4 linked regions of the Stegostoma tigrinum genome follow. The protein of the gene in region 1 interacts with the protein of each later gene in a biochemical or structural test. Links are inferred from orthologs where the notes say so. Each region holds a gene or a part of one and is shown in the gene's direction. Other genes may lie near its edges.

What was found.
Region 2: of the proteins of cdk1 (region 1) and rps3, one has a biochemical effect on the other in vitro, tested with the Homo sapiens proteins (2 studies listed by BioGRID, with this or other methods). The link is inferred for Stegostoma tigrinum from reciprocal best matches to the Homo sapiens genes CDK1 and RPS3.
Region 3: of the proteins of cdk1 (region 1) and prc1b, one has a biochemical effect on the other in vitro, tested with the Homo sapiens proteins (2 studies listed by BioGRID). The link is inferred for Stegostoma tigrinum from reciprocal best matches to the Homo sapiens genes CDK1 and PRC1.
Region 4: the proteins of cdk1 (region 1) and M-phase inducer phosphatase 1-B-like form a complex in vitro, tested with the Homo sapiens proteins (3 studies listed by BioGRID, with this or other methods). The link is inferred for Stegostoma tigrinum from reciprocal best matches to the Homo sapiens genes CDK1 and CDC25C.

The regions. Positions count from the first base shown.
Region 1 is NC_081373.1:51,575,958-51,582,784, forward strand, and holds the start of cdk1 (cyclin-dependent kinase 1), read left to right. Parts: upstream 1-3,809; 5' UTR 3,810-3,834; intron 3,835-3,913; exon of another isoform or gene 3,914-4,066; intron 4,067-4,110; exon of another isoform or gene 4,111-4,134; intron 4,135-4,171; exon of another isoform or gene 4,172-4,292; intron 4,293-6,154; 5' UTR 6,155-6,251; intron 6,252-6,827. UniProt on the Homo sapiens protein: Plays a key role in the control of the eukaryotic cell cycle by modulating the centrosome cycle as well as mitotic onset; promotes G2-M transition via association with multiple interphase cyclins.
Region 2 is NC_081359.1:90,805,081-90,812,141, forward strand, and holds the start of rps3 (40S ribosomal protein S3), read left to right. Parts: upstream 1-4,061; 5' UTR 4,062-4,148; coding exon 4,149-4,178; intron 4,179-4,365; coding exon 4,366-4,496; intron 4,497-6,931; coding exon 6,932-7,025; intron 7,026-7,061. UniProt on the Homo sapiens protein: Component of the small ribosomal subunit. The ribosome is a large ribonucleoprotein complex responsible for the synthesis of proteins in the cell. Has endonuclease activity and plays a role in repair of damaged DNA.
Region 3 is NC_081389.1:22,225,511-22,232,999, reverse strand, and holds the start of prc1b (protein regulator of cytokinesis 1b), read left to right. Parts: upstream 1-4,475; 5' UTR 4,476-5,004; coding exon 5,005-5,018; intron 5,019-6,585; coding exon 6,586-6,718; intron 6,719-7,285; coding exon 7,286-7,408; intron 7,409-7,489. UniProt on the Homo sapiens protein: Key regulator of cytokinesis that cross-links antiparrallel microtubules at an average distance of 35 nM. Essential for controlling the spatiotemporal formation of the midzone and successful cytokinesis.
Region 4 is NC_081366.1:76,177,509-76,184,866, forward strand, and holds the start of M-phase inducer phosphatase 1-B-like, read left to right. Parts: upstream 1-4,345; 5' UTR 4,346-5,120; intron 5,121-7,358. UniProt on the Homo sapiens protein: Functions as a dosage-dependent inducer in mitotic control. Tyrosine protein phosphatase required for progression of the cell cycle. When phosphorylated, highly effective in activating G2 cells into prophase.

The DNA.
Region 1 (6,827 bases):
CCGTGTCTGCGTGGGTTTCCTCCAGGTGCTCCGGTTTCCTCCCACAGTCCAAAGATGTGCAGGCTAGGTGGATTGACCATGCTAAATTGCCCATAGTGTTCAGGGGTGTGTGGGTTATGGGGGGATGGGTCTGGGTGGGATGCTTCAAGGGGTCATGTGGACTTGTTGGGCCAAAGGCCTGTTTCCACACTGTAGGGAATCTAATCTAATCTAAACTGCCTGTAGTGTCCAGGGATGCTTAGGCTAGGTGGATTAGCAGGGTTAGGGGGTGCTTTTTGGAAGGTTGGTTTAGACTTGATGGGCTGAACGGCCTGCTTCTACACTGTGTCTGTGGTAAGAGCTTAGCTTCAGCGGGGAGCTTATGAACGAGGCTGAACTAGAGACACTGTGATGTATGACTGAGGGGGAAGGTTACCTGGATTTTCCCATACCAGGAGGCAGTCATACCACTTAGGATAGAGTCTTCTGATTTGGTCAGTGTTCAGGGTGAGTAGGCTGTATTTGTCAGGCAGCTAAGGGAATGCAGGGCACAGAATGCCAGTCTGTGCAATTGCCCAATAGCTGTGGGGTTCTCTAAGCCTGTTTGGATGAGAACAGGAGTTGCGGGCTGGATAAAAAAAAAACTGACTCTGGCACTGTGGTACAGGAAACCACTTGAGTCAAGAGAAAAACAGGGAACATAGTGGAAGCAGGGGATCGTACAATGAAAGGGACTGACACTCTGCAGCAAACAGTGACAGTCCAGGTGTCTATCCTGCCTGTCCAGTGCCAGGACTCAGGCTATCTGCTCAAAACTGGACAGTGACCTGCAGCACAACAGCGAGGATCCAGTTGTCATGGTCCATGTAGGTACCAACAACAGAGAGAGAGTTAGGAAAGGGGTTCTGGACCGGGAGTATGAGAAGCCAGGCACGGAATTAAAAAGCAGAGCCTCAAAGGTTTGAATCTCTGGATTACTACCTGCGCCGTGTACAAATTGGCATGGGGACATAAAGTTAGAGAGGTGAATACATGGCTCAATGATTGGAGTGGGGGATATAGGTTCTGGTTTGTAGGCCACTGTCACAAGAGCTGGGAGAAGTGGGGACTGTACTCTTGGGGCAGTCTATATCCAGAACTGCGCTGGACCCAATGCTCTTGTGAAATTTAACAGTGAGGACTAAGACACTGGATGTGGCATGTCAGAAAGTGGAGACTGGGTAAGAGAGGTAAACAGTTATGTGGGAATTGAGGGTCAGAGAGATAAACCAGGAATACTCCAATAATCAAGACTAAATGTCACAAAGACAATAAAAAACAAAACTAATGTCTCTGCTTAAGAATCTGCACTGCATTTATAATAAAGTAAATATCTTGATAGTGCACAGTGAAATTAAGAAATACAATCTGAGGGCCATTACGGAAACATTTGTTATCTCAGATTCTTCAGCATCTGCAGTTCCTATTATCTCTGCAGGACAAGAAGGATTGGATCCTGAATATTGCAAGTATATGATATTCGAAAACAAAAGCAAGTTAGATAAAGATGGATGATTAGCAATGTTACTCAAAGGTGGCACAGTGTGTAACAAAGTATATAGGGTGTTTGTAATATAAAGGGACGGCAATGATCATGGGTAACTTTAATCTCCCTGGTACCCAGCACATATGGGAATTGGGAGCTTTTTATTTTAGCAGCATCAGACGGCTGCATGAGAAATGACTCAAGAAGAACGTGCGTTGTAAAACTGTGCAGCCAGAACTGTTCATAAACACCTGGCCATGGTAGGTGGTTCTGAGTTTATCGATAAGATAATTCTTGAAATGGCTTTAATAAAACATCTGATCCTTTATTCCTTTCCAATACCTATCGCTGGTCAAGTATAATATGCGTGCATGTCTGAAAACTGAAAACAAAACCTTAAAACAGAAAGTCTTTTTGAAAGCAGCTTGGAACAGACATGTAGGCACACTGAGTTTAAGCCCCTTAGAAAGACAAAACAGTGGTTCAGCGGTTAGTACCGCTGCATCACAGCACCAGGGACCTGGCTTCAATTCCACCCTTGAGTGACTGTGTGGACTTTGTATGTTATTCCTGTGTCTGCACAGATTTCCAACCACAGTCCAAAGATGTGCAGGATAAATGGATTGGCCATGCTAAATTGCCTGTAGTGTGCAGACTATGTGGATTAGTGTGGGAAATGCAAGGTTTACAGGGATTGGGTGGGATGTTCTTCAGGGGATTGGTGTGGACTTGATGAGCCACGTAGACTGCTTACACATTGTAGGGATTCCAAGGTCATAAAAAGACCTCACTTTTCGGGCCATTCAAGCGAAGCTAAGAATTTGTCAACAAGGTTTGAACAGATCTGAATGATCGTGGGGCACGAGGAGGGCGTAAGAGGAAAATTGAGTTGAGGCCACAATCAGACATTCCATGATCTGTTTGAATGAGGGGACACATCTGAGGGGCTGAATGGCCCACAACTACTCCCTATTTCTGAGATAGTAGGAACTGCCAATGCTGGAGAATTGAGATAACATGGTGTGGAGCTGGATGAACTCTGCAGGCCAAGCAGCATCAGAGGAGCAGGAAAGCTGATGTTTCGGGTCTGGATCCTTCTTCAGAAATAGTCCCTATTTCTTCTGATTTTACCCACCCTCCATGTCAACTTGGTGATTGGGCTGGTTCTGAGGTTGGCTGTTTTTGAAGGTCATTGGGAAATGTGACCAGAAACGAACAGTTCAGCAGGTCAAGAAGAGGATCCCCCAAAAACCCTTCCCCTGAGTCAAATCCAAAGCCAATTTTGGGGGCGGAATGGTGTCTCAGTGGTTAGCACTGAGCCTCACAGCACCAGGGAACCAGGTTCGATTCCAGCCTCGGGCTACTGTCAGTGTGGAGTTTGCACATTCTCCCCGTGTCTGCGTGGGTTTCCTCCACATGCTCCGGTTTCCTCCAACAGTCCAAAGATGTGCAGGTTAGGTGGATTGGCCAGGCTAAATTGCCCATAGTGTTCAAGGGTGTGTGGCTTATAGGGTGGGATGCTCCAAGGGGCGGTGTGGACTTGTTGGGCCAAAGGGCCTGTTTCCACACTGTAGGGAATCTAATCTAATCTGTGCCAATATGTGAGTTCAAAAATGACTAGTATCTTCCTCTCCAACAAATGCAGAGAGCTTCGGGTCACCTGAGCCACCTCAGGAGATGCTGACCACCAGGGTGCAAACCAATATCTTACAAGGCAGGAGGCAATAACAGTGCCAAAACCTGCCATTTAAAATCCGCCCGCTCACCTCAAACCTTTAGCGAAACAAAAAAATCCAGCAACCGGAAAAACAATCCAAGTTTGCGCTCAAGTTTCGGGCCGTCCCTGACCGCCTCCAAAGTTCCCTGCCTGATTCCAGACCCAGTGGTGACCCAGCTCTCTGATGAAGGGTCTAGGCCCGAAACGTCAGCTTTTGTGCTCCTGAGATGCTGCTTGGCCTGCTGTGTTCATCCAGCCTCACATTTTATTACCAGTGGTGACATGCCCCGCCCCATCGTCAGACCCCGCCCTTTATCGGACCACGCCCCACGGTCAGACCCCGCCCCATCATCGGGCCCCTCCCCACTATCGAACATCGCCCCGTCCCCAGACACCGCCTCATCGACGTGCCCCGCCCCATCGTCAAATCCCGCCCCGTCCGCAGGTTCCGCCCATCCTGGGGCCCCGCCCCACGGTCGGAAGCAGACTGACGGTCAGGCCCCGCCCCGCCTCCAGGCCCCGCCCATTCACCGCTACCGCTGAGCTCCGGCGTTTCGCGCCTTTCTCGTTGGCCACCTAAGCGCTGGGCGAAGGACCTCAGCGAGCTCCCCCGGTTTGATTGGCCCCTTTGAATCCAAATGGCGGCGCGGATTGGCTACGGGTTTGAATCAGGGAGGGAGCGGTTGGAGGGGGAAGAGCGAGCGAGTGGCGTTCAAACTGCGGCGGGAGCGGGCACGGCAACGGGTAGTGTTGGTCTCTCTGTGTCAGCCCAGCGCTGCTCGGCCTGTTACAGCAGCCCCTTCGTCATCGCCGCCGCGCTGCTTGCAGGTTGGCCCCGGCGGCAGGTGGGGACCAGGAATAAAAACCGCCTCCCGGGCGATGGGAGATCCCCTCCCATCGCCCGGCTCGAGGGGTACGTCGGGGGTGGCAAACCTCAGGCCCGGGCTGAATCTGGGCCTCCTGGACGTGCCCGAGGTGGTAGTGGTTGGAAGGGTGGTCGTCAGACTAACTTCTGAAGGCTACACGTGAACCTATTTTTTTAAACTCACGGCTGTAGCACCTGCTGTAATTGTTAGTGTCGATGTTTATTCCTGTTTTTGTAGAGTTGACCAACAATCTGCTTTGGTTAGATGAGGCTGAGGGGGTTTAAGAGCGGTTTCTATTATAAGAGTAGCGAGATCATTAACCGCGGACAAAATTTGAAATAATTGGTTTAGAGGTGAAGTAAGTAACTTTTCGCATCCAAAGGGGTCGTAATACCTGAACGAATTGTGCCTTTAACATACTTGTGTATTTGTGGTGCTATTAACTACAGAATTACGGACCAAGAATTGGAAAAATCATCACCATTCCAGTACTGAAGAAGGGTCCTATCGCATTTGAAATATTTATTTCTCCAAAGATAGTGCCAGACCCACTGAATCTCACCAGCGCTTTGTTTTTATTTAACAATCTGTACGCTCACAGTACTTTTGATAGTTAAAAATGGGACTGGGCTTGAGGACTCATAACTGTCAAAGATGTAGCGATTGAGATGTACAGCATGATCTTCATTCTTAATACATTCATGGGATGAGGGTGTTGCTGGCTTGGCAGCACTATTGCCTATCCGTAATTGCCCAGAGGCAGTTCAGAGTCTAACATATTGCTGAGTCTAGAGCCGCATGTAGGCCAGACCAGGTAAGGAAGGTAGTTTCCTTCCCTAAAGGACATTAGTGAACCAGGTGGGTATTTCCTGACAATTGACAATGGATTCACAGTTGTCATTAGAGTTTTAATTCCAGATATTTTATTGAATTCAAATTCCCCCATCTGCTGTGGTGGGATTCTGGTCCCCAGAATGTTGTGTGGTCTCTGGATTAACAATCCAGCAATAATACAACCACGTCATTGCCATCCCCCTTTTGTCCAACTCGTCCATGCCGAACAGTTATCCTAAACTAATCTAGTCCCATTTGCCACTACTTGGCCTGTATGCCTCTAAACCTTTCCTGTTCATAGACCCATCCAAATGCCTTTTAAATGTTGTAATTTTTCCAAGCTTCCACTTCCTATGGCAGCTCATTCTGTTACATATTGTGTGAAAAAGTTGTCTGTTGGGTCCCTTTTAAATCTTTCCTCTCTCTCCTTAAACATAATTGACTAAATTGTTTCTTCTGTGCTGTAAAAGCATACAAAAGCAAGGGAATTATGGTGAACCTTTGTAAAACTGATTTGACCTCAACAAATACTTTCCATACTGTACCACATGAGCCTAAATTGCATGGATAGGGTGAAACTGTTCCTGATCTTGGAAGAATCACTGATTTAAGGACATGAAGTGACATGAAGCGCAATCTTTCTCATCTGCAAGTGGTTAGAATCTAGAATGCAGTGCCTGAGAATGTTATGAAGGCAGTCTCAGTTATAGATTTTAGAAGAGTTTTTTTTCTCTGAAGAGAAATCGTGAAAAGTGGTCTGGTGAGACTAGCTGTTTTGGGCACCTGCCATGAACATACTGCATGACTATCTATTTCCACCCAACCTGTGTTATCACTATTCTGAAATTATCTGCTTCTATCAATGAATGTCATGGCCAGAAAGGCTGTTGGACCGTGGGTCTGGAAAATCTGGTTATTTCATGCTGTAGGTGGTTGCCTCGTGACCTCCTCTGGAAAGTGTGGGCTTTGGCATGTTTTAGTTATGATGTCCAATCATGCTCGTTGGCCAGTACCATAGTGGTTCAATTGTGAAGAATATTAATTATTCTTCTCACTTAATTGGATGCTTTAGAGTCGCCAAGACTGTCAATCTGGAGAAATTCTGATACCAGCCCCCCTCTTTATATGCTGTATTGCTGACATTAGGTCAGTTTTACTGCTTGTAATTTTCTTCATCTAAAGTCAAGGTACGGAAGAAATTTGTAACATATGGGCTTATCTGAATTTCAACAGACCATCTGTCCATTACACTGGTCAAAGCTGCAAGGATCAACCTGTATCAAAGTTATTCCTAGAAGATTTAACCTGGGTCTTTTGCCTGTTAATACGGGTAAGTTTTCTGATATTTTAAATTTTAACCTCTTGATCCTTTGTAAGTTCTTCACCTGTTGTTTAACATTATGAACTTTCCAAGTTTTCTTCAAAATTTACAGGCAACTATCACAATGACAATGAGGTAGAGCTTTCTTGGGGGAACCAAAATGCATAACAACACACATCCAAGTCAAACATATCTATCTTCCCCTCTGTCACAATTATCACCAGATTGTTGCATTGTCCAATTTATATTTTGATAATAACTTGTCAGAAGATCTACAGGCAGATTCAAGGATAACTGATCAAGGGCATTAAAACCAATTGTTAGTATCCAGCCAAAGGAAGGGAGAAGAAGTTAAGAATGAACTGCAGTGATTCCTTGGCATACTGCAAAAACTGATTCCCTTTACTGCAGGGAGTAAATTATACGGTGTAATCAAAAGTAGTGCAGTTTGGCTACATAGAAACCGACTGACTATGGTTCAAGTAATAAATACTAAATGCTCTCCAGGTGAGAGCTACTTGGCAGGTCATTTTAAGAGAATGAATGTGAGATAGGAATAGGGTTAAGAGAATCATCAGCTCCCAC
Region 2 (7,061 bases), on another chromosome or scaffold:
GCTCATATGTGGAATGAACTGCTAGGGGAATTGGTAGATACAGGTACAGTTACAACATGTAAAAAAAATTTGGATAAGTATATGAATAGGAAGGTTTAGAGAGATATGGGCCAAGCACAGGCAAATGGTATTAATTTGGTTTGGGGAAACTTGGCCAGCATGGACAAGGTGAAGCAAAGGATCTATTTCCATGCTGTATGACTCAATAACAAAAAAACTGTCAAATTTTATCAAAGCTATTTGTCTTGTACTCATCAGGATAATTCACAAGAATACCAGTTCGAGGCAGGGGAACCCACATTTGTTCTGGTTGGTTGGCAAGTTGATTGATTGGTAGAAACACTTCTTTTGGAAATGCAGCAGTTAAAGATGATTGACTGTTAGACTGAACTGCCAGACTCTAAATTTCAAACTAGGCAGGTTGACTCTGATTAGTTCGAACATTGCTATGAGAAATGAATCACTGCGTGCCTGTCACCTTATTTGCTGAATTAATAAAGGTTGAGTGATTATGCAGCTTTACTGTAGGCTTGGTTGTCAGTATACTTCTTTAGCAGTCCTGAAGAAGGGTAATATCCAAAACATTGACTTCTCTTTTTGTCCAAATGCTGTCTTGCGTGCTGTGTTCTTCCAGCCTCCCATGTGGCTACCTTGGATTTCAGTATCTGCAGCAAAATATTGTAGAATCACATCTAACATTGATTATCTCCCACAGTCCAAAGATGTGCTGGTTAGGTTGATTGCTCGTGCTAAATTGCACATAGTATTCAGAGAGGTGTAGCTTAGGTGGGTTATAGGGGGATTGCTCTAACATGGGACACTGTGTTGTGAATTTAGCAAGTGCGGGCTGGTTGGGTACAGTCAATACTTTCACTTGTTATAAAGTCATAGAGTCAGACAGCATGGAAACAGACTCTTCAGCCCAACTCTTCCGTGCTGTCCACGTTTCCCAAAATAAAATGATCCCATTTGCCTGCATTTGGCCTATATCCCTCCGAACATTTCGTCTTCATTGTTGTAAACAGCTGAAGGGATATGGTACAATCTGTCAGATTTTAGAGTAGATTTGCAGCTCGGGTTGTGGATGTTGTGGCTGGTTAGCTTACCGAGCTGATTCGTTGATAATGGGAACTGCAGATGCTGGAGAATTCCAAGATAATAAAATGTGAGGCTGGATGAACACAGCAGGACAAGCAGCATCTCAGGAGCACAAAAGCTGACGTTTCGGGCCTAGACCCTTCATCAGAGAGGGGGATGGGGTGAGGGAACTGGAATAAATAGGGAGAGAGGGGAGGCGGACCGAAGATGGAGAGTAAAGAAGATAGGTGGAGAGAGTATAGGTGGGGAGGTAGGTAGGGAGGGGATAGGTCAGTCCAGGGAAGACGGACAGGTCAAGGAGGTGGGATGAGGTTAGTAGGTAGATGGGGGTGCGGCTTGGGGTGGGAGGAAGGGATGGGTGAGAGGAAGAACAGGTTAGGGAGGCAGAGACAGGTTGGACTGGTTTTGGGATGCAGTGGGTGGGGGGGAAGAGCTGGGCTGGTTGTGTGGTGCAGTGGGGGGAGGGAACGAACTGGGCTGGTTTAGGGATGCAGTTGGGGAAGGGGAGATTTTGAAACTGGTGAAGTCCACATTGATACCGTTCGGCTGCAGGGTTCCCAGGCGGAATATGAGTTGCTGTTCCTGCAACCTTCGGGTGGCATCATTGTGGCAGTGCAGGAGGCCCATGATGGACATGTCATCTAGAGAATGGGAGGGGGAGTGGAAATGGTTTGCGACTGGGAGGTGCAGTTGTTTGTTGCGAACTGAGCGGAGGTGTTCTGCAAAGCGGTCCCCAAGCCTCCGCTTGGTTTCCCCAATGTAGAGGAAGCCGCACCAGGTACAGTGGATGCAGTATACCACATTGGCAGATGTGCAGGTGAACCTCTGCTTAATGTGGAATGTCATCTTGGGGCCCGGGATAGGGGTGAGGGAGGAGGTGTGGGGGCAACTGTAGCATTTCCTGCGGTTGCAGGGGAAGGTGCCGGGTGTGGTGGGGTTGGAGGGCAGTGTGGAGCGAACAAGGGAGTCACGGAGAGAGTGGTGTCTCCGGAAAGCAGACAGGGGTGGGGATGGAAAAATGTCTTGGGTGGTGGGGTCGGATTGTAAATGGCGAAAGTGTCGGAGGATGATGCGTTGTATCCGGAGGTTGGTAGGGTGGTGTGTGAGAACGAGGGGGATCCTCTTAGGGCGGTTGTGGCGGGGGCGGTGTGTGAGGGATGTGTTGCGGGAAATACGGGAGACGCGGTCAAGGGCGTTCTCGATCACTGTGGGGGGAAAGTTGCGGTCCTTAAAGAACTTGGACATCTGTGATGTGCGGGAGTGGATTGTCTTATCGTGGGAGCAGATGCGGCGGAGGCGGAGGAATTGGGAATAGGGGATGGAATTTTTGCAGGAGGGTGGGTGGGAGGAGGTGTATTCTAGGTAGCTGTGGGAGTCGGTGGGCTTGAAATGGACATCAGTTACAAGCTGGTTGCCTGGGATGGAGACTGAGAGGTCCAGGAAGGTGAGGGATGTGCTGGAGATGGCCCAGGTGAACTGAAGGTTGGGGTGGAAGGTGTTGGTGAAGTGGATGAACTGTTCGAGCTCCTCTGGGGAGCAAGAGGCGGCGCCGATACAGTCATCAATGTACCGGAGGAAGAAGTGGGGTTTGGGGCCTGTGTAGGTGCGGAAGAGGGACTGTTCCACGTAACCTACAAAGAGGCAGGCATAGCTGGGGCCCATGCGGGTGCCCATGGCCACCCCCTTAGTCTGTAGGAAGTGGGAGGAGTCAAAAGAGAAGTTGTTGAGGGTGAGGACGAGTTCAGCTAGGTGGATGAGTGTCGGTGGAGGGGGACTGGTCGGGCCTGCGGGACAGGAAGAAGCGGAGGGCCTTGAGGCCATCTGCATGCGGAATGCAGGTGTATAGGGACTGGACGTCCATGGTGAATATGAGGAGTTGGGGGCCAGGGAATTGGAAGTCCTGGAGGAGGTGGAGGGCGTGGGTGGTGTCACGGACGTAGGTGGGGAGTTCCTGGACCAAAGGGGAGAAATTGGAGTCCAGATAGGTGGAGATGAGTTCGGCGGGGCAGTAGCAGGCTGAGATGATGGGTCGACCAGGGCAGGCAGGTTTGTGGATTTTGGGAAGGAGATAGAAACGGGCCGTGCGGGGTTGGGGAACAATGAGGTTGGAGGCTGTGGGTGGGAGGTCCCCTGAGGTGATGAGGTCGTGAATGGTGTTGGAGATGATGGTTTGGTGCTCGGGTGTGGGGTCATGATCGAGGGGGCGGTAGGAGGTGGTGTCGGAGAGTTGGTGTCTGGCCTCGGCGATGTAGAGGTCAGTGCGCCATACTACCACTGCGCCACCCTTGTCTGCGGGTTTGATGGTGAGGTTGGGGTTGGAGTGGAGGGCTGCCCGTTCTGCGGGGGAGAGGTTGGAGTGGGTGAGAGGGGTGGAGAGGTTGAGGCGGTTGATGTCTCGACGGCAGTTGGAGATGAAGAGGTCGAGGGAGGGTAGGAGGCCTGGGGGTGGTGTCCAGGAGGAGGACTTGTGTTGGAAGCGGGTGAAGGGGTCAGTGGAAGGAGGGTTAGGTTCCCGGTTGAAGAAGTAGGCATGGAGGCAAAGACGGCGGAAAAACTGCTCTATGTCCAACTGATTCGTTGTTCCGCAGACAATTCATTGTATTTCATTTCAATATTATTTAAATAACAGGCGGGAAAACACAACAGCGCTTCATCAGCGGCTGCAATGTCGATGTTAGCCTGCAGGGTAATGCTATGTCTGCGGAACAACGAACCAGCTCGGCAAGCTGGCCAGCCACAACCATGTCAGATTTTAGTATCTTCTGTTAATTTTAGATTTCCAGCAGCCGTTCCTATTTATTCTGCAGCATGCACATTAGACCTTTCCGGTAGGATGGGTTTTTGATTGTTTCTTTCCCACGTAATTCCACGTGTACGCTTTTAATTGAAATGAACTACATAACCCAGAAGCCACAGTGTCCGCCTGCAGTCACGTGCCTTGCTGTTCTTCATTCCCGTTGGTGGAAGGAGACGAACCGGAAACGGTTGCTTGTTTAAATAACATCAGCCCGGGGTTGACTTCCTTTTCAGTCGCGGCCCCGTCGAGGAAGATGGCGGCACAGATCTCCAAGAAACGGAAGGTGAGCGGCGGGAGTGGGTGCGGAGCGGGAGGGCGGGAACGCTGATCGAGGAAATAAGGACGGGGGTGAGTGTGGGAGAGGACGTCGAGGGTGAACGAGGCTGGGTCGAATGCTGGCGGCGGCGGATGGAGGAGGATTGATTTGGATGGTGTCCCCTGACTTTTAATATGGCGCCGTCTGTTTTCAGTTCGTGGCGGACGGCATCTTCAAGGCCGAGCTCAACGAGTTCCTGACACGCGAGTTGGCGGAGGATGGCTACAGTGGCGTGGAGGTCCGCGTCACCCCGACTAGGACCGAGATCATCATCTTGGCCACCAGGTAAAAGAAAACAGTTAAGCGGCCGACGTTCCTAGTAGCCCTTCCCCCTCCCAGAGGGTTGGTCCTGACTGGGCCCTGTCTCTGACTGACACATTGTGTACGCCTTGTTAGCCTCTCTGACCGAACGGTGAAGGTAGTAGTTCACGCCATTGATACTGTTGCCGCTGAGAAAACAGACTGTAGGCAGTGCAACTTGAGCACATTGCACTACACTGAGATGCCAGTGTAGCACTGCAATCTGCCATCCATCAGGCGTTCAGCTTTTCTGCCCAGATGGTTGACTAAACTGTCAGTAATGGCATGTGAACTCTGCCTCAGCTGAGCTAATGAAATAGTTGATCTAGTCATTCTCTCTTTTTGCAGTTTGTGGGAGCTTTCTATGTATAGACTGGTTGCCTTGTGTGCATGCATTTCAATAGTGACTGAATTTCCAAAGTTCAGCTTCAACATTTAAGCCACAAGATAGCAACAGAAGTAGCCCATTTGTCTCTGAGCCCACACTGCCATTCATTAATATTGTAGCCAATTTGTTGATCCTCAACTCCACTTTGCCATGTTGCCTTTTTGTACATAACCTTTAATTCCCTTTTTCTTAACTTGTCTGTCTCAAAACACTTAATGACCCAACCTTGACAGCCCTTTGCTGTAAAGGAGTTCCTGAAAGAAAAGCTGTTTCCCCTTGTTTGTCTTATATGTGCAACTCCATACTGTGAGATTGTGTTCTCTGGTCCTAAATTCTGTAACCTATCAGCATACACGCTGTCAAGCCTCTAAGAAATCTGTGTTTCAATGATATTGTGCCTCATTCTCCTAAACTGAGTAGAAGCTCAAATCTCCTTTATAAGAATGTTTTCATAGCTAAGGATTAAAAGAGTGACTCTTATGCTGGTACATCTTCCCTTAGGTAAGGGATATTAAAACTGTTCATAGAATTCTAGCTATGGTCAGACTAGTGCCTTGTATAGTTTTAGCAAGTCCTTTTTGTACTGTGGTCCGTTTGCTTTCCCTGTGGCCACTTGAGGCTTGGCTAGCATTTCATTGACTTTCACACTCAAACCTCAAAATCCTTCTGTCTTTCAAATTTCTGCAATCTTTCCCCATTCAAATAACATTCAGCTCTTCTAGTTTTCCTCCCAAAGCGTATAACCTCTTTCCCACAATGTATTCCTGTATCTCTGATCTGTGTATTAGATAGCCAATCCTTTATCTATGCTAATATACTAGCCCCCATACCATGGGCTAACAAGTAGCCTTAAATGTAGTATCTTTATTGAATGCCTCTAGGCAATCCAAATGTACTACATCTTCTGGTACCCCTTTAATGACCTATTGTTGCCAAAGAACTGTAGTAGACTTGTTATGTGTAATTTCCACTTGTTTTATGCTTTTAAATGCTCTGATATTAGATTCTTTATTTAATATCTTTGAACACTACCCAATGGCCTGCTAAGCTAACTGGCTTATAATTACCTGTTTTGTCACACTTTTTTCCAATAAGTGTGTTGCATTGTCATTTAGTCCTCTGCGTCTTTTCCTGAATCTGAGGATTCTTGGCAAGTTACAAGTGCAACTGGTATCACTAGCTAGTCTTTTAAAATCACAGGATGAAACTCATCAGGTCTAGGGGACTTATTGACCTTTGGCTTTGAAGTTAAGCTCATACGTTCACTATAGGTGTGCAGAAACACATCAGTGTGTATCCAAAACCTGCTGGAGGTGAAATTGACAAGAATTACAATACCCCTCTGATCTGAACACATAGTTAAATTGATTTTTGTTTCATGTGGTTGACAGGTAATTACTTCATGAATTAAACTATTTACCTTTTCTTTGTCCTTCATGTGACTTGGTAGAACCATTTTGCATGCCATGTCTATTCCCAGTTGACATTTGTTTTTGTATAGGTGAAATTGCTACACACTCACTTGAAGACTTTAAGGTTCATCTTGTACTGTGCATTTTGAGATCGTTGTCTTAGGTTCTAGTCCATTTGGTTATGCTGCTACTTCACCATCGTGTAGCTCGATTATTGTATGATACATACTTCTGCAGCACACACCACCCTAACCTGAAAAGAAGCCTGCAGGTCAGATGTTGAAAGATGGTCTTGTCTGAAGTTCATTCACCTGTACTGTGATCTTGCAAATTTAATTCGGTCACAGTGAAAGCATTTTGATAATGGCAAGTGAAACTCTAATGTGTAGTGATTATAAGCTACTTTATAAACCTAAAGTTATGAGATGATAATCATCAACTTTTGTAATTACCTTTCATTTAAAAAGTAAATGATGGAATTATTGATGTTAGCAGCTTAACAATCCAAAGGGTCCTTAGTTACATTATTTTACTTCACACTTCAAATTTTGTAGGCCCACATTAGTTGTGTTGCATAAACAATTTGCCCAAAGTATGATAACTTCTTCTGACATTATTAGGACTCAGAACGTTCTGGGTGAGAAAGGTCGCCGAATCCGTGAACTGACTGCTGTTGTTCAGAAGCGATTTGGTTTCCCAGAGGGAAGCGTTGAGGTAAGTTACCTTTATTGAAGCACGATGTTCTCTTGA
Region 3 (7,489 bases), on another chromosome or scaffold:
GTGTATAGTTCCCACTTTTCTTCTTATAGCCTTCCTTAAATAAAGACACAACAGCCTCCAGTCATCCAGCACTTCACCCATGGCTGGAGATTATAATTTCTTCCCTAAATTCCGATGAGTCCTGGGATACACTTGATCAGGTCCTGGAAATTTATCCACCTTTATATTTTTAAGACCTCCAGCAATTCTTCTTTTGTAGAATGGACCATTTTCAAGACATCAAGATTTATTTCTCTGAGTTCCCTAGCCTCCATTTCTTTCTCCGCAGTGAAAACTGATGCAAAGTATTCATTTAGTATCTCTCCCATCTCCTGTGGTTCCAAATGTAGACAACCTTGTTGCTCTTTAGCGGGCCTAATTGTCTCCCTTTTGCTCTTAATGTACTTATAGAATCTCTTTGGATTTTCCTTAGCCTTATTGAGTTATGGAGGTGTACAGTTTGGAAACAGACCCTTTGGTCTAACTTGTCCATGCTGACCAGGCATTCTGAAATAATCTAGTCCCATTTTCCAGCATTTGGCCCATATCCTTCTAAACCCTTCCTATTGATCTATCGAGTACTTAATGCTGAAGGTGCTAACCCAACACTAGGAAAATCAGGATAATAAAATGTGAGGCTGGATGAACACAGCAGGCCAAGCAGCATCTCAGGAGCGCAAAAGCTGACGTTTCGGGCCTAGACCCTTCATCAGAGAGGGGGATGGGGAGAGGGAACTGGAATAAATAGGGAGAGAGGGGGAGGCGGACCGAAGATGGAGAGTACAAGAGAGTTGCAATGGGAGAGAGATTCCCTGAGGTTGGTCCGGAGGGAGGAGGGTAACTTCTTCAGGTTAGGCATCCCATTGCAACTCTCTTGTACTCTCCATCTTCGGTCCGCCTCCCCCTCTCTCCCTATTTATTCCAGTTCCCTCTCCCCATCCCCCTCTCTGATGAAGGGTCTAGGCCCGAAACGTCAGCTTTTGTGCTCCTGAGATGCTGCTTGGCCTGCTGTGTTCATCCAGCCTCACATTTTATTATCTTGGAATTCTCCAGCATCTGCAGTTCCCATTATCTCTGATACTATTTTAACCTCACTGCGAAGCCTCTTCCAGGGATGCCTAACCTGAAGAAGTTACCCTCCGGACCAACCTCAGGGAATCTCTCTCCCATTGCAACTCTCTTGTACTCTCCATCTTCGGTCCGCCTCCCCCTCTCTCCCTATTTATTCCAGTTCCCTCTCCCCATCCCCCTCTCTGATGAAGGGTCTAGGCCCGAAATGTCAGCTTTTGTGCTCCTGAGATGCTGCTTGGCCTGCTGTGTTCATCCAGCCTCACATTTTATTATCTTGGAATTCTCCAGCATCTGCAGTTCCCATTATCTCTGATACTAGGAAAATCAGATTGGGTAGTACTCTGAACGCTTAAATGTACAACTACAAGTCACCAAGATAACAAAGGCTTTTCACAACTTTTATGTTCTACCGCCTGTTGTGTATGTGCAGAATCAAAATGTTAATCAAATCAGAGTCTACATGAGCAGTGTCAAATCCAAATACAAAACAAGTGTCTCCTGCCAAATTCTTTTCCAAGGCAATAAATAATTACATCATAAATCCTCCTTTCCTGGGACAATAAAGAAATGGCTTGAACAGTTTCTTCATTTCACAGTACCAAATGATGTTTTCTGGAAAAAAAATTGAGTGAAAAGTCAGATAGTAAGCAGGATTATTAAGGTCATTAGATGCCACAGCCAAGATTGACCAAATCTTCACACTGGCACTTCCAACAATTATTAGAACGCTGCCTGAATGCTTTCTTAGCTTAAAAAAGAGGCACAGAGATCACTTTTCCAGAAAACACCAGCTTCCCCCTTATATCCCACTTCTCTCCAGCACTGCCAGCAAAAATGTAGCTTGGAAGCTTGTTCGGCAAATGAAATACTGATCAAGGCTGTTCAGAGATATCCACATATGAGGAGGTTCATGATTGTATCAATTTGCTAGTATGCACTTTATACAGACCTGAAACAGGCACATGATGTTACAGATCTTAATATCTTTGCAAAGTGAGTTGTGCTGCCAAAGCTTTTCGCTAGAACTCATCAGAACAAATACAAATTGGTAACCTGACTTGCTAACCTAATTACACCCTTTTTCCACTGTAGTATAAATCGTGGCGATACTTAGAAATTAGGAATTCTTGCATTATCCTTAATGAACACAAGACAAACTAAAATGCTGCTTGGCCTGCTGTGTTCATCCAGCTCCACACTTTGTTACCTTTAGCAACTTGTTTCTCTTTTCAGCGATACTCGAAAACTTCAAAATTTTCCTTGCCACCATATGCCAGAGGCAAGCAACCAACTTGCCACCAAGCCTCTGTCAATGACACACTTTTTATGTAAAGAGAACTTGGAAAGAAAGTAGGCCAGTCAGCACGTAAATATTTCACCTCTCCCTATCATTGTCTACGTCTGCCAAGGCCCTCGTATCCCCCTTTTTCCCTCTTGATTTCCCACACGGTAATGGCCCTACACCTCTTATACTCTTCAAAGGATTCACTTATGGATTAATACAGTGTGGAAAAGGCCCTTTGGCCCATTGAGACTGCACCAACATATCTACCACCAGAGATACCAAAGTGTGGAGCTGGATGAACACAGCAGGCCAAGCAGCATCTTGGGAGCACAAAAGCTGACGTTTTGGGCCTAGACCCTTCATTAGAAAAGGGGGATGGGGAAAGGATTCTGAAATAAATACGGAGAGAACCCCCTCTCTCCCAATTCCCCTTTTCTGATGAAGGGTCTAGGCCCGAAATGTACGCTTTTGTGCTCCTGAGATGCTGCTTGGCCTGCTGTGTTCATCCAGCTCCACACTTTGTTATCTCGGATTCTCCAGCATCTGCAGTTCCCATTATCTACCACCAGAGATGTGTTAATCCTAATTTCTTGCACTTGTCCCATATCCTTGAATGTTATGATATTTGATGTTCTTATTGAAATATTTTTTAAAGGTCTTAAGGATTCCAAGCTCAACTACCTAACCAGGCAGTGCACTCCAGACTCCCATCACCTGCTGAATGTTAATTTTTTTTTTCTCTGAGTCTCCTGCCCCCTAACTTAAAACTATGACCTCCCATGACTGACCTCCTCAACCAAGGGGAACAGTGCTGTCTATGCACCCTGTACAAACTTCTCATAATCTTATAAACCTCAATCATGAACCCCCTCAGTCTTCTCTGCTTTAAAGAAAGACATAAAGGATTAGGACAACAGTGTGTTAAAATGGCAGAGGTAGATCAATCATAAATGGAAGGAACTGAATGGTCTAGTCCTCTTATTTTCCGATGCTCCTGTTATTTTTTAATCAAAATCAGAGTACCTTTCATCGTACAGTCCGACTCTTCATAGCTGCAGCTGTACTGGTCTTGACGAGACCACACATGGAGTATTGTGTGCAGTTTTGGTTTCCTTACCTGAGAAAACATGTGCTTTCCTTGGAGGGAGTCAGAAAAGGTTCACTCAACTGATCCGTGGAAATTCCAAGATAATAAAATGTGAGGCTGGATGAACACAGCAGGCCAAGCAGCATCTCAGGAGCACAAAAGCTGACGTTTCGGGCCTAGACCCTTTATCAGAGAGGGGGATGGGGTGAGGGTTCTGGAATAAATAGGGAGAGAGGGGGAGGCGGACCGAAGATGGAGAGTAAAGAAGATAGGTGGAGAGAGTACAGGTGGGGAGGTAGGGAGGGGATAGGTCAGTCCAGGGAAGACGGACAGGTCAAGGAGGTGGGATGAGGTTAGTAGGTAGATGGGGGTGCGGCTTGGGGTGGGAGGAAGGGATGGGTGAGAGGAAGAACCGGTTACAGGTTTGACATGAGAGGAGAGATTGGTTGACTGACCGTGTATTCACTGGACTTTATAAGAATGAGAGGGGATCTTATTGAAACGAATAAAATCCTGACCATGGCTGGACAGAGTAGAGGTTATTTCGCCTGGCCTGGGGTGTCTATAACAAGAGTCATTGTCTCGTCATGTGGGGGGAGATAAATTTTGAACTGAGGAGGAAAATTTCTTAACTGCAGGTGGCGAACCTCTCGAATTCTCCGGCACAGAAGGCTGAAGGCTGTGTAGTTCCGAAATATTTTAACAAACTAGTTTTGTAGAGACTAAAGCGGTACGGAGAGAGGAGCTTTGGTGTTGAGATAAAAGATCAGTCACCTTCATGTTGAATGGTGGAACGGATCTGATGGGTCGAGTGGCCTATTCTTAATCCTAACTTCTATGTTTCCTATTTAGATGTAAACATGTCACTTCTGTCATTAAAGACAGGTAAGATCAGCGATGATCCGACTGAATGGCAGCACAGTCTCGAGAGACTGATTGGCCGCCTCCCACACGCATGCGCCGATTCGGTTGACGTTGTGATGCAACGTCGTCGTAGCCAATGGAAACTTTTAGCGGGCTGGCGGTTGGAAAATTTGAATCTAATGAGAATAACGGCCGCAACGGTCTTGGAGAGAGCGACTGGACACCCGGGGACAGGGAGTCCGAGACCGAGAGACACCGGGACCCCCGGGGACAGGGAGTCCGAGACCGAGAGACACCGGGACCCCCGGGGACAGGGAGTCCGAGTCCGAGACCGAGAGACATCGGGACCCCCGGGGACAGGGAGTCCGAGACCGAGAGACGCCGGGACCCCCGGGGACAGGGAGTCCGAGACCGAGAGACGCCGGGACCCCCGGGGACAGGGAGTCCGAGACCGAGAGACGCCGGGACCCCCGGGGACAGGGAGTCCGAGACCGAGAGACGCCGGGACCCCCGGGGACAGGGAGTCCGAGACCGAGAGACGCCGGGACCCCCGGGGACAGGGAGTCCGAGACCGAGAGACACCGGGACCCCCGGGGACAGGGAGTCCGAGAGACACACACACCGTGAAAGCGGACGGTCCGTGAGCTGGAGGGAGAGTGAGATCGGACACGGTGATTTCCCGTTAAACTGACCGGCAGTGAGGGAGCGGAGTCGCAGGATGGTGAGGAAAAGGTAAGGGGTGGGGAGGGTGCAGGTGGGTAGTGGGAGAGAGGGCAAGGAGCCAGTATCGCAACACTCTCAGCTCCCAAAGCCCCACAACCCCCCCCCCCCCGAACCCCCACAGCCCCCCCCAAACCCCCACAGCCCCCCCAAACCCCCACAGCCCCCCCAAACCCCCACAGCCCCCCCCAAAACTCGGATCACCCAGCGCCACTCCGCACCCCCCCCCCCAACCCAGCGCCCCTCCCCTCCCCTGTTGTGTAATTGACTAAACTTTGGGTGTGCCTCTCCAGCCAGCGATTGGCAATAAAATTTTTCAAATTCTGGAGCAACAAAGGTGTTGACTCATTTTAACTGTCTTTAGACTGACATTTTGCATTGTTTTACTTGTCATTTTTGCCGTTCAAACTTTTTAAATCAATAACAATTATTTGCGTTCCCATGCAACACTGATGTTAGGATGTTTCTTGTCCTTTCAAATGTAGAGCAATCTACAGGATTCTTGCACAGAAATCTGCAATTTTAAAATTCTCTTTCTAAGAATGAACATTTTGCAAAAAGTGAATTCTACACTAAGGACAAGGTCTAATGAAGCGATTTAACCGGCCCTAAATTAGATCTCAGGAACTGCTCTTGAACAAAGGAAGAGTGTTAGGAAGGGTAGAAGGAGGGGAGTAGAGGGTGAGTTGAGGGAAAGAGGCAGGTTAGTGTGGATTGGGGAGAGATGGGATGAAGGAGGAGTGGGTGGAATATAGGGATGGGTGTGACTGAATGGAAGAAAAACAGTGGTACTGAAAGGGGGAAGTGGGAGAAGAAAACGAACACAGGCTAGGCAGCAACAGAGGAGCAGGAAAGTTGACATTTTGGATCGGAGCCCTTCCTCAGAAAAAGGATACTGACCCAAAACAGCAACTTTATTGCTCCTTTGCTGCCTGGCCTACTGAGTTCCTCCAGCTCCACACTGTATTGTCTCTGGCTCCAACATCTACAGTTCTTGAGATCTGAGGAAAATGATGGTCCTGTGCATAGGAGAGGGGACTGGTGAGTTAGGTGCGAGGTAGAGGGGAGGGAGGGAAGAATGGAAAGGACAGGGTGAGAGAGCGTCTGGGAGAAGGTGAAGTATTGAATGGTGGAGCAGACCGATAGGTCAAGTGGTTTTTCTCCCCCATGTTTGTTTTTGTTTTTCTTTTGAAAAATCAGCAAAATTTCGTGTTTAACTTTAGACTTTAATCTACCGTTGTGATTGAACTCTTGGTCCTAATTGTATATCTAGTGATTTGGACTCTTCCATTATTTTGGCCATGCTTAATTTGGATGAATGTTCCATCCAGAGAGAGTGAAATTTCTTTCAAGAACGGTAGTGTCAGTAAAATAGTGCTGACCAAAGTCTGAGCTGTAGGCAACAGTATTTGCTTTTCTGACAAGAGTCCCGAGCAAACAATAATTAGCACTGTTTCATTTTTGTAACACCTTTGTGTGTGCTTTTCTGATGATGCTCTGATTTATTGGATTTTCTGTATTGATTTGAGATACAATCAATTTTACGCATAAGTTATTCTGGTATTTTGCTGCTCTGCAGTGATGCTCTGGCCACAGAGTCAGTGACCTGTCTCAATGGAGCACTTGCCCATCTCCGGAATATCTGGGAAGAGATCGGGATTCCAGAAGATCAACGATTACAAAGAACTGAAGTTGTTAAAAAGCATATTAAGGCAAGAGCAAAAAATTATCAGAATTAACTTGAGCTTTACTAAAACAGAAGATGCATCCCTTAATTGTTGAAACAAGTTTTTTTTAAATCTGTCTTTGCGTTCTAATTTCAGTATCGGTTTACCTTCCGACAGTGAGATACACAATCTCAGAATGGTCCTTCTGTGGTCTAAGCTAATTTTGTTATTCATTGTTAATTGTGTTTACGTGTGGGGCCCTTTCCAAATGCCGTTGAATATTAGCTGGAATGGCCCAGATAAAAGTTACACTAAACTCTTAAGCTACTGTTATTTTACAACAGCAAGTAAATGTCCAGAGTGCTTGGTGTTACCAAATATCTCTTGGTGGTTTCTGGGCTTGAAGAATGACTTATCCTCTGATCCTATTTGCTGCCCATAGTGAACTGTTCAATCTGCATGTATTTTTTTATTTTTAATACGTTGGGTGCATATCTTTAAATAAAAAACAATTCTGTCAAAATGAATTGAACCTTCATTATCTACAACCTTTTTCACCTCTGGTGCAAATTGCAGCATGTGACTTGTACTCCTTTTTCCATTTTCGCACAGGGGTTGTTGGATATGATGATTGCAGAGGAAGAAAACCTGAGGCAGCGGCTGAAAAAGAGCATTGATATGTGCCAGAAGGAACTCCATGCTGTGTGCCAGGAACTCAATTTGTCTGTTTGCATGGTGGGTCAAATTTTACTATAAATCACTTTTCCTTTTGAGCAAGGCTTTGGGGAAAAGGGAAGAAAAATAGCTATTTTCCCA
Region 4 (7,358 bases), on another chromosome or scaffold:
TGTCCCACAGGTTGCTGCCTGTCACTTGGAAAAAGCCCTGTTTATTTCTCCTCATTGTCTCCTGACTGATTTGATTTGATTTGATTTATTGTTGTTGCATATGCCTAAGTACAGTGAAAAGTTGTGGTTTGCGAGCAGCACAGGCAGATCATAGCAAATAAGAACGTACAGATCATGGGATGCTTAGACAGAGCAAGGCAGACAGGTTACAACTGCACAGGGGGTGCACAAAGCCAGATCAACATTAGATTGAAATTACAGAAGTCTGACGTTGAATCTTCTTCAGATGAGGTAGCTGATGATTGCTGACACACACCATACGGGTTAATGTATAGTCTTTCTAACAGCATTACTAAAGGGATAAAAAAGAAATTATATAAATAATTGAGAGGTCTGTTCATGAATCTGATAACAGCAGGGAAGAAGCTGTTCTTGAATCTGTTGGTACGTGTTCCCAAACTTTTGTATCTTCTGCCCGCTGGAAGAAGGGGGAAGAGGTTATAACTGGGGTGGGGGAGGGGCCTTTGATGCTGCCAGTTGCTTTCCCGAGGCAGTGGTAAGTATAGATAGAGTCAATGGATGGAAGGTCAGTTTGTGTGATGGACTGGGCTGCGTTCACAACCTCTGTTTGTCACCTTGAGGCATTGTAGAGCACTAACCCTTTCAGAACAATAAACAACATCCACGACACTCTAATTCCAAAGGCGCAATTTCTTGAGCAGGTCTCCACCCCATGCAAACACAAATGTACCGTTAGATTCAATTCTGGGGATGATTCAGAGATGAAAAGTCATCAACCAAATGAAAATATGTGATGGGAAACTCTTTTTTACACAGAGGATGGTTCACGTGTGGAATGGTCTTCCTGAGGAAGTGGTGGATGGGGGTACAGTTACAGCATTTAAAGGACATTTGGATAAGCATACAAATTGGAAATGTTTAGAGGGATATGGGCCAGGACCAGGTAGGCGGGACTAGTTTAGTTTGGGATTATGTTTGGCATGGACTGGTTGGATCGAAGTGTCTGTTTCTGTGTTGTGTGACTCTATAACTATGACCCCAGTGTGCCGCTGGACTTACTGAATATTTCCAGCATTTTCTTTACATGGCGTTGTGCCAGCTTCCAGAGACTTCAAATGGTCCATGTCTTCACATGTGCTCTTTCCTGTGTTAAATTCTGCTTGGAGTTACACTGATCTTCACATTAAACATCCTGGAACTCATCCATAAGTTCCTTCATTGTATTTTTCCACCAATCTCTATAATCTCCAACAGCCCCATTCTTGTCCCAAGGTATGTAACAGAGCGTTCGGAATTAGGTTTCATTGTCACATGTACTCAAGCGGAAGGATGCAGAAGTACAGTGAAAAGTTTACAATGTTGCCATTCGCAGTGCCATCTTAGGTCCAAAATCTTTGGTAAAAAGTAGAAAAATAAAGAAATGTGAAAAGTTCAACATCGCACTTCTTCTCAGTATAGAGCGGTATATAAGAAATAAATTTACTGAACTATCTCCCTCTCTACATTTAAAAACCTTTCAAATTCGCCACCAAGATTCCCTCACCCTACCAAATCTCCCGAATTCTTGTTCAGGGATCCTATTTTGTTACAATTAGAGCGAATCTTGTGATGTTTCTTTGCATTGAAGGTGTTTTACCCGCAAACTGTTGTCCGCTTATATTTTTTAGAAAAAGGACTTTTGGCGTTCAGAATATATTTTGGAAATTTTTAAACAGCAAACTGACAGCATGCACTGTCCATGCAGACTTTGGCAAATGTTTATGGCACCAAATGGACGCTACAGCAGCCTGCTCTGAAACTTCAATGAATCTAGTGTTAACAGAACTTTGCATAAGAACAAATATTCTGCCTGTATTAACTGTAATGTTTTTGTTTGGAATAGTTCATTCATTGTGGTAGACCCAAAGCACTTAGTCAAAAGTCACACTTTAAGAAGGACATGAAGAAATTAGAAATGGGACTAGTTTAGTTTGGGATTATGAGATAACAAAGTGTGGAGCTGGATGAACACAGCAGGCCAAGCAGCATCTCAGGAGCACAAAAGCTGACGTTTCGGGCCTAGACCCTTCATCAGAAAAGGGGGATGGGGAGAGGATTCTGAAATAAATAGGGAGAGAGGGGGAGGCGGACTGAAGATGGATATCCCCTTAGGTTGGTCCGGAGAGAGGAGAGTAACTTCTTCAGCATGGACACTCTGGACCGAAGGATCTGCTTCCTTGCTCCGTGACTCTATGAGAGGATGCAGAAAAGATACATTGGAATGGTTTGGGGGATGTCTAATTTCAGCTGCGCGGATATTTTAAAAAATTCTTGTGGGGGTTGCTGGCAGACCCAGCATTTGTTGCCCATCTTTAATGGGTCTTGAACTAAGCGGCTTTCTGGGTCATTTCAGAGGCCACCTCACAGTCAACTGCACTGCACTGTACCTGAAGTCTCATGTAGATGACAGCACATAAGCAGATTTTCTTCTGTAAAGGATATTATTGAATGGCCTGGGTTTTGAAAAATACAATCAATTATTGTTTTGAACTGCCATTACTAAGCCGTTACTAATATTATTACTAATACTCATTCCGAGTCTTACAAATTTCACTTTAAATTCCACCAACTTCCATGGGTAGATCAGAGGGGTCAGATCTGTTGTTGTTGGGGGGGATGAATTGATGGGGATGTTCAAAAATCTGGACAGGTTGGGAGGAACTGATTTTATTGGTCAAAGGTTCAGGAAACAGAAACTGCTGATATAAAGTCTGTGGCAAGAGAACCCAAATGTAACAAGGAGAAAACGCTTCTTTGCAGGGCTCGTGGATCTGAGATGTACAGGCATGTGGAAAAGCTGATTCAGAAGGGAATCTAATCTGAAAAGAAAACATTTTGCGAAAGGGAAAAGTCAGGGCTCATATCAGTTGTGTAGCTGTTAATGGGAATTGGTACAGACACAATGGGATGGCATAGCAGTTCAGTGGTTAGCACTGCTACCTCACAGTACCATGGACCTGGGTTTGATTCTAGCCTCAGGCAATTGTGTGAAATTTGCACATTCTCCCCACATCGGTGTGGGTTTCCTCCCACAGTCCAAAGATGTGTAGGATTGGCCATGCTAAATTGCCCATAGCATCCAGGGATTTGCAGGTTAGGTGGATTAGCTGTGGGAAATGCAGGGCTGCAGGGATTGTGTAGGGGCTGGGTACGGGTGGGATGCTCTTTGGAGTTGTTGGGCTGAATGGCCTGTTTCCACACTGTAGGGGACTGTTTGGTTGGGTCAAATGTCCTCTTTTGAACTGCTCCTTCAAACACACCATTGGCATGCTTGCTTTCAGACCTATAACACTGGTGCTCTGCAACATATTCTAAAGGACTGGATTTATTGAGAGGGTGTAACAGGAGGAAACACAAACCGAGTCCCATCGCAATTTCAAAGGCAGACGCTTGGACCCAGCGCAGCTTTCAAGGGCCGTGGGCTTGATTGACAGTCAACTGGTCCAATCAGACAGCCCGACCTGAAACGACCAATGGGCCAGAGCGGGAGGCGGGCCAACAGCCTTCCCTCCCCCAGCCTTCAAACCCAGGCTGCGGTCTGTGATTGGCTGCTCCCGGAAACAGAGACGCCATTGGCTGATAATGTAACAGTGTCAGCGCGGCAGATTTAAAATCCCTTTGGAGGCGGAAGTGGCGGAGCTAGAGGAGCACAGGGAGGGCTAGCAGGCACTGATGGCGAGTTAGGGAAAGGCATGCTCGCTCTGCTGAATGTGATTGAAGGGAATGCTCAGAGAGTTTTTATATTCCAGTTAGCGGAGAATGGCAGGGAAAAGGTCTCTGTGTTAGTAGTTAGAGAGAGGGAGAGCAAATCCCTTCTGTGGGGAGATTGACAGAGCGAAAGAAAGACAGATCAAAGTTTCTTTTTTTCTCTGCTGGGGGTGACAGTAGAGAGATGAAGACTCGGAATTGGTGGTGAGACAGAGAGTTTAACTGAGCCCGGGAGAGAGGGTGATGACACGTGTGTGACTGGAAGTTAGGCAGGGAGTGAGACCAGATCCTGCACGCTGGGACCTTGTTTCGTAAGGAGAGAATGAGAAAAAAACAGAGGGTTTGAATTTCATAAAGCTGGAAAAAAGAGTAAGAGAAGAGACACGCAGATTGGAATCTGTACTGTTGTAATTGGGGTGAAGCTGAGAGACTGGGTCCTGTGTAGTGAGAGAGAGAGATAGTGAGAGAGACTTGTCTCTGTAGGGTGGCATTAGGAACAAAGAGAAAGCAACTTGATACTGTATTTGGGGGGAGGGGGAGAGAGAGAGGGAGGGGGGGAGAATTGAGATTATGTATTCCTGGAGGGAGATGACTGGATATTCAATACTGTCAGAATGAGAAAGGAAGACAGATGAGACCTATGTGTATGTATGAGGGACAGAGAGAGACTAAGATCCTGTATACAAGAAGAGAAAGGGAGGGAAAGACTAGACCCTGTATGCTGGGAAGAAAAACATGAAGAAAAACTCCACTAGGAGTGGGAGAGAGCTAGATTGCCTAGACCCTGTATGCTGGGAGTGCATGAGTGAGATAGAGACCAGGCCAGACTGTTTGTACAGAGTGTGAGGGAGACAACAGGATCGTATACAGAGACAGACAGACAGACACTGTTAACTGCTACTGGGAAAGAGAAAGGACCTTGTTTACTTGACTTCAGATGGTGAGTAGAGGAGAAGGAAATGATAGGCCTTGTGTTCTGGAGCTGACAGTTGGAAAGGTGGGGGGGGAGAGTTAGAAACCCTCTGCTCTGAATTGTCAGAAAACATAAATGAAGCTTTTCTCTTAACCCTTCTTAAAGGTGGAAAGAAACAAAAATCCATTTTTTTTTTTGGTTGTGGACAGGCAGAAACAACAGGCTTACCAAAATCTTCAGCTGCTGGATACAAATACTGCTATTTGTAAATGAAATTACCCAGTGCATATTGTAGGATTTACCACCTTGGGTTGACTTTGGTCAATCCTAGCTTTGGTGAAACAACACCATTTTTGTGACTAGTCAGAGCCAACAAGAAATCCCTGGACCTCTGTAGAGTGTTGAAACTTCAGAACTCCATTTCAAACATCCTGAAGGGGTAAGTGATCACACTGAGAATCCAATGTTTATGTAGCTTTGGTTTTAATGTGCTGTAAAATAAGATTTGCCCAATATTTAATGTTTTGTGTTCCCTTATCTGCTGGTGTAACTTTAAATTACAGTACTCCCATTGTCAGGAGTTCACACCACTTAAACTGTAATCTATCAACATGAGAGTGCAGCTTCGTAGTTCCTTGAAAGTAGAGTTGCGGGTTGACAGAATAGCGAAGAAGCCATCTCGTACGCTTGCCTTTATAGTCAGTGCATTGAGTAAAGGGGTTAGGAGGTCATGTTGCAGCTGGACAGAACATTGGTTAGACCACTTTTGGAATATTACATTCAATCTGGTCTCCCTGCTACTGGAAGGATGTTGTGAAACGTGAAAGGGTTCGGAAAAGATTTACAAGGATGTTGCCAGGGTCGGAGGGTTTGAGCTATAGGGAGAGGCTGAATAGACTGGGGCTATTTTCCTTGGAATGTTGGAGGCTGAGGGGTGACCTCATCATGGTTTATAAAATCATGAGGGCCAGAGATAGTGAATAGCCGAGGTCTCTTCCCCAGGGTGGCAGAGCCCAAAACTAGACTGTTTTGGGGAAAGATTTAACAGGGACCTGCAGAGTGTAGTTCTGCCAGAGGAAAGTGGTGGAGGCAGGTACAGTTCTAGCATTTGAAAAGCTTCTGGAGGGGTACATGAATAGGAAGGGTATAGAGGCATATGGGCCAAATGCTGGCAAATGGGAGGGGATTACTTTCTGTTGGTGTGGGCGCGTTGCACGGCAGGGTCTGTTTCCAGACTGTACAGCTCTATGGCTGAATCACCTGTGCCTGTGTACCGCCATATTGCATGGTTTTAGAAGTGGGCTGGTTGGTACAAACTGGCCCCAAACCCTAGGAGATTCCTTTGAGTTAAGCACATTGCCTAAAGAGCTCAAGCTTGTGGTTCAAACCTCACCTGGGATAAAGTGAGTTAGTCAGGGGCAAGCTGTATTTGTTGTCGTCCATGTACGAGGGGTGTGCATGCTTTTATTGCACAACTGGATGTCAACTTTTGTTTTAGGATGTTGGGGATTTTTATGTTGCATTTACTTCAGATTTATAAGAATTCTAAACAACTAGCCATCTTAGGCTCCCACTTAATTGCAACCAGCAGTGAATCGACTCCAAAACAATAATTGGCTGCTCTCCATGTAGTTACAGGATTAGGGAAACAAACTGGCTTTGCGGAGGGTGGGAGGGGAAGGCAGAGCAGAGTTTGCAACATTGAACTAGACACCAGCGGAGAGTTGCAGCTCTGATTTAATGGTGGGCTCTCAGTGTTCGAGTCTGATTCAGTATGACACAAGACGAGGCTGTTTGGCCTGTTGAGGAAATACTGTGAAGTAGTCCAGTCAATCCCACTTTTATTTCACCTCTGGAAAATGGGGTTTATGGGGTTATGTCAATCTCAGCCCATAGGTAAGTCCACAAAGGATCATCAATGTTGCAAAATTGGATAGAGTACGTGTGAATTGGGAGGCAGGAATTTGGTGTTTGTAAAATTCGAGGGTGGGGGGAGGCATTGCGTGGTCCCTTTAAAAGATCATGTGCTTTTTCTGTGCTTAGAGATGTAAAATGGATGCCTGTGAGCAGAACCCTGGAAGTTTGCAAGTGCACAGAAAGCACCCGAAGTGAAATGTTTGCATCAAAAGCCCATACAGTGAGCAGGCCCAGCAGTAGTTTTACCAAGACAATGGGCGTTTGCCTTTAGCTAATCAATTTGAACCAGGCGATTAGATACCAAAAACTTATCAAATTTAAAGTCTGAGGTAACAATGTGTACAGCTGGATGAACACAGCAGGCCAAGAGGCATCGGGGAGCAGGAAAGATGATGTTTTGAGCCTAGACCCTCCTGCCTCTTTGTAGGTTACGTGGAACAGTCCCTCTCCCACAGCCACGCTGGCCCTAACCCCACCTCTTCCTCTGTTACATTGATGACTGTATCAGCGCCACCTCGTGCTCCCAAGAGGAGCTCGAACAGTTCATCCACTTCACCAACACGTTCCACCCCAGCTTCAAGTTCACCTGGGCCATCTCCAACACATCCGTCACCTTCCTGGACCTCTGTCTCCATCTCGGGCAACCACCTAGAAACCGATGTCCATTTCAAGCCCACCAACTCCCCCAACTACCTAGAATATGCCTCCTCCCACCCACCTTCCTGCAAAAACTCCATCCCCTATTTCCCAATTCCTTCGC